Linked DNA regions of Mus musculus. The protein of the gene in region 1 purifies or fractionates together with the protein of each later gene. This does not show direct contact. Links are inferred from orthologs where the notes say so. Each region holds a gene or a part of one and is shown on either strand. Other genes may lie near its edges.

The links.
Region 2: the proteins of Mex3c (region 1) and Ap2a1 purify together in Homo sapiens (affinity purification with mass spectrometry; 3 studies listed by BioGRID, with this or other methods). This does not show direct contact. The link is inferred for Mus musculus from reciprocal best matches to the Homo sapiens genes MEX3C and AP2A1.

Annotation. Positions count from the first base shown.
Region 1 is NC_000084.6:73,571,170-73,575,730, forward strand, and holds the start of Mex3c (RNA-binding E3 ubiquitin-protein ligase MEX3C), read left to right. Parts: upstream 1-1,535; 5' UTR 1,536-1,874; coding exon 1,875-2,607; intron 2,608-4,561. UniProt on the Homo sapiens protein: E3 ubiquitin ligase responsible for the post-transcriptional regulation of common HLA-A allotypes. Binds to the 3' UTR of HLA-A2 mRNA, and regulates its levels by promoting mRNA decay.
Region 2 is NC_000073.6:44,905,357-44,909,157, reverse strand, and holds part of Ap2a1 (AP-2 complex subunit alpha-1), read left to right. Parts: intron 1-1,325; coding exon 1,326-1,434; intron 1,435-1,728; exon of another isoform or gene 1,729-1,915; intron 1,916-2,173; coding exon 2,174-2,324; intron 2,325-2,678; coding exon 2,679-2,847; intron 2,848-2,929; exon of another isoform or gene 2,930-2,949; coding exon 2,950-3,087; intron 3,088-3,290; coding exon 3,291-3,473; intron 3,474-3,801.

The DNA.
Region 1 (4,561 bases):
TGGGAGGCAGAGGCAGGTGGATTTCTGAGTTCGAGGCCAGCCTGGTCTACAAAGTGAGTTCCAGGACAGCCAGGGCTACACAGAGAAACCCTGTCTCGAAAAAAAACAAAAAATAAAAATAAAAACGTGATTTCCCTATGTGTAGCTAGAACCAGAGATAATCCAGAGCCCATTCGCTGAGAGCTGTCATTACAGACCTAGCCACCAAGTCAGGTCTTTCTGTAATACCTTTATATACAGGCGGGGTTGGGAATCCATGCTCCACAGCTACATCTACAAACGAGCATTTATGACAGCTAGTGCGTGAAACCTTGGGGTAACAGGGAAGGTTTAGTATTAGCAAAAATTCTCCAGCCCTTTTGATTAGAGATGGAAAGAGATTTCTGCAAATGGCTTAGATCACAAAATAGCGAATGGAAGGCATTAATTCCGCTTTCTTTATCGTACTGTGGTGGTGGTGGTGGTAAGAGCCAAGAGTTGTATCATGACAAACTGTACGCAACAAGGTGTAGAGAATGAATCCAATACAGTGGGAAAATGAAGATACACTTCAAACCTCAAGAGAACTAGATTTTTTCGTGGCAAAACGTACTTGAAACGTGTCTGGTGTGAAGTAGGTGTTATATTAATAACGGGGCCACTAGAAACTTTAGGGCTCCATTGTTGCTATAATTCTCTCACTTAAACCAGGCGGGAGGTCTAGGCTAACGTGGAAAGGCTTAGTTGGTACTAAAGGGAGGGCTTGTAAGGCTGCAGGAAGACGAGGACAATCCCAACTCATTTCCTTTCAAAAGCCCCGAGGACTTAAAATTCAGCTCTCCCGGCCCCAGACTAAGGAAGCAGCGCCGCGAGGGAAGTTTGGCCGGCCGGGCGTGGGCGGCCAACCGGAGGGAGGAGCAGTCCCGGGGAGAGGCAGAGAAGGCCCCGGAGCCACGCGGCTCAGGAAACCACCCCCGCGAGTGGCTAGGCTGGCACTCCGGCTCCGCCTCCGCCTCCGCCGGTTCGCCAGCCTGAAAGGCAGTGTCGCTTCCGCACACCGCCCAGCGGCCCGTGCTTGCAGCCCCAAAGCCCGGCTTCTCAATCGGTGCGTTCCCTAACACCGCCCCAGACAGACCACAGAACGGGAAGCACCGCGAGAAGGAAAAAAAAGATCCCGAGTCCGCGCCGGAGGCGCACGCGCCTGCGCAGACATCCGCTCCGCCCTCTCTGCTTCTCGCCTCGCGCGCCTTCCTCCCGCCCCGTTCCCCGGGCGCCCGGCTACGTCACAAAGAGTGGCGTGTAAATGGAACAATCTAGTTGCTCCCCTCGAGAGCACGCCCCGCAAGAGGAGGGCGGGGCGGAGGGAGGGACGGAAGGAGCCGGCTTCGAAGACTGGCTCGTTCTCGTCATCCAATCCGAACGGTCTGGGGCGAGGCGGGGCGGGGCCCATGAAGAGGGCGGGGGTGGGGCCGAGGGAAACGAGCGAGAAGGCTGCGGGACGAGAGGGCGGGCTCCTCCCGGAGATTAAAAGCAGCCAATCAGAGCGCGCCGGCTTCATTCGGAGAGCGGCGTGGGGCGTCGCCGCCGCCGCCGCGCGCGCCGGGGGCTGGTTAAGGCCATGAAACAAAAGAAACCCTGAGAGGGGAGCCGCTGCCGTCCCCACCCACCCACCTAGTTCCCTACCTCGGCTCCGTTCCCGGCCCCTCCACCCCGCCCTCGCGCGCTCCGGCGGCCCTGGCGCTCCTCAGCCCGGGGCGCGGGCGCCGCCGCCTCCCCCGAGGAAAGGTGTTTGCGCGCTGAGCAGGGCCGGGGCCCTGTCCGCCATGGGGCCGGCTGCTCGCCGCGCCTGACGCTCCCGCCGCCGCCGCCGCCGCCATTGACAGCGCGCCGCCGCGATGCCAAGCGGCAGCTCCGCGGCCCTGGCCCTGGCCCTGGCGGCGGCCCCGGCCCCCCTGCCGCAGCCGCCTCCGCTGCCGCCGCCGCCGCCCGCGGGAGGCCCAGAGCTCGAAGGGGACGGGCTGCTGCTGAGGGAGCGCCTGGCCGCGCTAGGCCTCGACGACCCCAGCCCGGCGGAGCCCGGCGCCCCGGCGCTCAGGGCCGCGGCGGTGGCGGCGGCGGCGGCGGCGCAGTGCCAGGCCCGGCGGGCGACCGGGCTGGCTCCGGAGGAGCCTGGCCGCCTCGCGACCTCCGAGACGGCGGAGCTGGAGCTGGAGGTGGACGAAGAGGAGGGGGAGGAAGCGGAGCTGGACGGAGAACTGCTGGAGGAGGAGGAGCTGGAGGAGGCAGAGGAGGAGGACCGGCCGTCGCTGCTGCTGTTGTCGCCGCCCGCGGCCACCGCCTCCCAGACTCAGCCGATCCCGGGCGGGCCCCTGGGGTCGGTGCTGCTGCCGGCCGCGGGCTTCGATGCCCGGGAGGCCGCGGCGGCAGGGGTGCTGTACGGAGGGGACGATGCCCAGGGCATGATGGCGGCGATGCTGTCCCACGCCTACGGCCCCGGCGGCGGCGGGGCCGCCGCTGCCGCCCTGAACGGAGAGCAAGCGGCCCTGCTGAGAAGGAAGAGCGTCAACACCACCGAGTGCGTCCCCGTGCCCAGTTCCGAGCATGTCGCTGAGATTGTCGGACGCCAGGGTGAGTGCACGGAGGTCGGTCGGTCTGTCTGTCTGGGCACGGCCCTGGGCGTGGGTGGGAGACGGAAAAGAAAGACGAGCGTGCGACAGAAGAGTGAACCGAGAGAGTCCCCCAAGTCCACCGAGAAGGGGTCTGGGTCGCCGAGAAAGGGACCGGTCACCTTGCGAAAACCCACGCCGTTCCGCCTCTTCAGCCGGACAAGAAGTGTTAAGTTTCTTGGGCCACCCAGTCTGGTGTATTCGTGGAACCCCAGGCTGGCGCGGCCCCAGAAACCTCAGTGAGATGGTGAGGTCAGGTCAGAAGTTGTGGGTCACGGAATAGTTTCCGAGAGCTTCGAGATTTGGAAGTTTGTGTAGCCGAGTGGCCGGTAAAAAGCAATCGGCCTGCCTTAGAGCTGCTTGTGCTGAGAAGTGGACCGACATGGAGGCATGGGCAGCATTTGAGAGGGAAGAGATGTTCAAGTGGCCGGATCACCTCCTCCCTCCGCTATTCAGAAACTTGGCTTTAGAAGCGCACCCCAACTCTGTTGATCTTAGGTGCTCAGTGTTCTCATTTCTCTTTTCAAAAAGCGCTAGTGTCAGTCTTTTAGAACACTTTAGCCTGTACCGTGAAGGGAAAACTGGGCATTTGGGTAATTAAGGAACTTTATGCGTTAGTGCAGTTTTCGATAAATTTTCTTCACTTGCTAGCACACCCGTTCCCCAGACAGACTCCTCCCACATTGTTCAGACAAAGGACCTATGTCTCAGATTCCAGGAGTAGGTTTGTGAAGGTGGGGGAAGGGGATGCACAGAGTACCTTGGTATCCGACATTTTTAGGGAAGGTTCTGTTTGCTTCGGTGTAGGTTTTGCCCCGTTTTACTACCTGCTGCTGCTGATGCTGTAATACAACATGGTTGAAACTTGCCTCTTGTTGAGGTCAAATATGGCACTGCTGGTGGAATGATCTCATTTTCCCAAGTGGTCTAAAGTACACATAAATAAGAGATTGGTGACCTCACATGTAAGAGGTGGCTCTCGTTGCTAGGATTTTGATTAAAAAAAAAAAGCCTATATGGTACCTAGAAAGAAAGAAAGAAAGAGCTTGTTTCAAACTGTTTGACTAATCAGTTTCACATCTCACTTGCCAGTAGGAGCTGATCAGGATAATAGCTCATGAGGAAATTTTTATGTACATGAAATAAAAATGCATTTTATTTATAGGTCCATAATGAGGTGGCTTTTCATTTAATATCATTGAAAGAGTGCTTGATTTTGCTGGTTAATGAGTTTATGAAAAGTAAGTAAACTAAAAATTTGAGGTTGATTTATACAGAATTTCTGCTCTTTATTAAAAACTAACCATTTAATAGAATGGCACGAAAGTAATTACTTGAAGGCAATACACACAAGAACATACATAGAGAATGCAACTTAGCAAACAAAGATACAAGTATTGAACAACATGAAGAAAGTGTGGAGGAGACCTGCTAGGTGGTGACTGGAAAATACCCAAATTTCATTACTAATTAGAATATGGTAAACTGGAGGGGGGGGGAAATGGCCTGGTACGGGATTGTTGAGGCTGTGGAATGTAGAGATTTGAATGGCATAGTGGGAAAACAGCAGAACTTAATTCAGTGTTCATGTGCTTGTGTGCAAAGCACAAGAGAAGAAAGAACGTTTGCTCCGTAGTTTTACCACGTGACAAGGTGCTGTCTGTATGTTGGTAGATTGAGTTTAACATGAACTTTTGTCCTTTGCATTCTTAAGCACCTTAACTGTACATGGGTAGTATTTATATAAACTGAAATGGCAAGCTTTTATTTTGTGCTATCACATGATAATTGTCTTAGGTTTTTTTGGGGGGGGCTGTGCTTATTGGTTAGTAAAGAAATATGAATCTATGTCTTAGAACATGGAGACAAAATTGCTGACTGTTCTTGTACTAATCCCTAGAGTTGTGGGTACTGTT
Region 2 (3,801 bases), on another chromosome or scaffold:
TCTCCTCCCTTCCCTAAAAGGCAAGCCAGCCTGTGCTTAGAAGCCAGGACTCTGCATTGGCTTCCTCGGGCTGTGTGCCCCCAGGCAAATGGCTTCACTTCTCTTTGCTTCTTTTCCTGTGTGGTTCAGGGGCTGGTGTCAGTGCGGTCTGCAGCATGGTTGCTGTGGTAAGGTGCTGACAGCTCCCCTGCCTGCTCTTCTTCCTCCTGTTTGTCTACACATCCCTCCTTTGCCTCCCACCACCTCCACCCTTGTCCCCAGAGCGCCGCCCCGAGCCTTCTGTGTGCCTGGCTCTCTATGTCTGAGTCAGACCTTAGGGCCGCCCTGTCCTGCTGAGAGGGAGTGTGACGGGGACGGTGACTCAGTCATAGACTGCCAACAAGGGCTGTGTGTCAGCATCATGGGCACCTCGCGGAGGTCCTAGTCCAGTTTGGGAGACAGGAGAGCTCCTGGGGATGGCAATCCAAATGGAGACTCAGAATGAAAAAAATGAAAGTGCTGTCCGGGAGGCCATAAGTGTCTCAGTCCTCGGGGAGAAGGAACACCTATGCCTACCATTCAAGCCCCTAGTTACCACACATCTGAATGCATTAGGTGCCAGGCCCAACAGGGTACAGAGATGAGGTCACTGTCAGCCGCTGGCAGGCTTCCTGGAGAAGGTTGTTGGGTTTTTTGTTTGTTTGTTTGTCTGAAACAGGATTTCTTTGTATAGTCCTGGCTATCTTGGAACTTGCTCTGTAGATCAGGCTGGCCTCAAACATATAGAGATCTGCCTGCTTCTGCCTCTGGTGTTCTGGAATTAAAGGCTTTTGCCACTACTGCCCAGCTTGCAGAGGATTTTCGAGGTGGAGTCAGAGGGTACCCTGAGGAGTGATTTTCATTCGATCTTCTGACCAGGGATGGAGGAAGGATGAGACCCAGCTTCGTCACTTCAGTAGTTCCTCTGTGCTGAGAATGCAGGAACCATGGTGGTTCAGGCTGTAAGAGGTAGAGCCCAGCAGTAAGAGAGGCTGTAGCCTGCCCTAGAGACTGTCACACAGGGAACTAGCAGAGACTTCTGCTCCACTGTTACCAGCATAGCTTGGAAAAGCGAGTGAGGTGGTGGGCACAGTGCACACATTCAGGAGGCTGAAGCAGGAGGCTCTTGACTGAGGCCGTCAGGCTTAGTTCTGGTCCCACCCTCAGGCCACCCTATATTCAGGCCTTGGCTTCCCCTTTCTTGTCAAACCTGACTCCCGTGGTGTCCTGTCGTAACCGTGTGTCCTTCAGGGGACAGGCCCCTCTGCTGCTTCTGTCTACCCGCCCATCACTCTTTCCTCCTGCAGATCGTCTCCTCAGCCTCCACTGACCTCCAGGACTACACTTACTACTTCGTTCCTGCACCCTGGCTCTCTGTGAAGCTACTGCGGCTGCTCCAGTGTTACCCACCACCAGGTAAGGCCCATGGACTGCCAGCATCCATGTTCCCACTTGTCCTAAGCGAGGCTGTGCCTCCAGACTCGTGGAAAGCTATGGGTGAGAGTGGGGGGCACAGCCTGGTGCCCTGCCCCATGCAGCACCTGGGGTGGCACAACTCGTCCTGTCTTAGGCCCGTAGCTCTCGGTCCTGTGGAGTGAGCTGGTTAGTGTGCTGCTTTCCAGCAGAGGGCCGTTGTCTCACTCTGCCTAGCAGCTGTCCTGTGCAGCTGGGCTCTGCCTAGTATCCCTCCCCTGCAGCAGTGAGGCACTCTGGGGACTCCAATCAGCTTTATTTCTGTTAAACTCATAACCCCTGGCACCCAAACAGTGTGCAGTGGCCTTCGCGGGTGGTAGCTCAGAGTCCGTCTCTTGAGCTCTATGGTAGCTCCTTGGGAAAAGCTTGAGTGCCGTGTGGCTCTGGGATAGGCTCCTGGGTTTTCCATCCTTCTGTGAGAAACCTAAGGAACATCAGTGCAGCAGAAGGGGAAACTGAGGCTCACAGGAGTGGAGACTCATGCCAAGCAGAGTCAGTATGGAATGAGTAGGAGCCCAGACCTAGAAATTGCTGATCTACATTAAAAGGCAGAGGCCCAGCCTGGGACTGCCAGGCTTGAAGACAGCTGGGCCCCTCCATGGACGGTGAGAGCTAGAGCAGGCTGCAGTCTTTGGAGCCCACCGAACAGAGGGCTCAGCCTCTTTCCCTCTCTCTCCCCCAGAGGATGCAGCCGTGAAAGGGCGGTTAGTGGAGTGTCTGGAGACTGTGCTCAACAAGGCCCAGGAGCCTCCCAAGTCCAAGAAGGTGCAGCACTCCAACGCCAAGAACGCTATCCTCTTTGAGACCATTAGCCTCATCATCCACTATGACAGGTGCTGTGGGCAGAGGTGTGGGCAGGCGGGGCCACTGGCCTGTGGAAGGGAGGCTGGCATCTAACACCTGGGGCTGAGGGACAGCAGGGCCTGGGCAGAGGACAGGTGTGAAATGGTCCCCTGCGGTGGCTGCAGAACAGCTGGCTGCTTAGCTTGTTAGTTTAATCCTGCCTACCGAGGATTGAAGTCAGGGCTGGTTTCCACTGGCCGTATCCCCACTCTAGTGCTTCCCTCTATCTGGGCTCCTGAGGGTTCCTAGGAGGGACCCAGTAGGATGCTGGGTGGGCAGAAGTGAGAAACTGGATCCTTAGACTCACATCTTGTCTCCATGTACACTTCACTTGTGCCTGCCAGTGAGCCCAACCTCCTGGTCCGCGCCTGCAACCAGCTGGGCCAGTTCCTGCAGCACCGGGAGACTAACCTGCGCTACCTGGCCCTGGAGAGCATGTGCACGCTGGCCAGCTCCGAGTTCTCCCACGAGGCCGTCAAGACCCACATTGATACAGTTATTAATGCCCTCAAGGTACAGCCCTCTGCCCCACTCAGAGAGGCCTGGTGCTTGATGGCCTACAGTGGGCCCAGTACCAGCTTAGATCCCAGCTTACTCCTGCTCTCCTTTCCTCAGACGGAGCGGGACGTCAGTGTGAGGCAGCGGGCGGCTGATCTCCTGTATGCCATGTGTGACCGGAGCAATGCCAAGCAGATTGTGTCAGAGATGCTGCGGTACCTGGAGACTGCTGACTATGCCATCCGAGAGGAGATCGTGAGTCTAGAGGACAGGGCTGGACACCTGAGTGTGAGGGAGGAGGGCTGGGGTCTGGCCCCTTAGGTTGAAGGAGGAGTCTGGGGAGGGAGAGCCCCCCTGGGTGTTACGATGGGGCCAGCCATGATCATAGATCCAGGACTGGCAGTAGTCACCCTCCCGTGGGCATGATTGTCCTCACACATCGCCACCTCCCATCGCAGGTGCTGAAGGTGGCCATCCTGGCTGAGAAGTATGCAGTGGACTACAGCTGGTACGTGGACACCATCCTCAACCTCATCCGCATCGCGGGCGACTATGTGAGCGAGGAGGTGTGGTACCGCGTGCTGCAGATCGTCACCAACCGTGATGACGTCCAGGGTTATGCTGCCAAGACAGTGTTTGAGGTTAGCAGCCTTCGCGTTGACCCCGTAATGGAGCGCGGCTGCCAGTCAGGAGCAGCTGGGCAGTCGTCTGCCCCTCCAGCAGGTGCCAGCTTCCTGCTCAGCCAGCCTTGGCTGAGTCACCCTAGGACGTGGGAGCTGCAGCCATGGTACCTTCCCAGGGGGCGTGAAGCAGACACAGCATCTGTGCAGGAGAGCTGGCCCCTTCATTCCTCCCTGTGCACTGCTCCACAGGCTCAGGGGTTGCAGTCAGTCGTGACAGGGAGTGGATGGCTGCAGGGATGTGTGGTAGAGTGCCCGCTGGGCTAGGGCAAGAGTCTGGGTTTCAGTC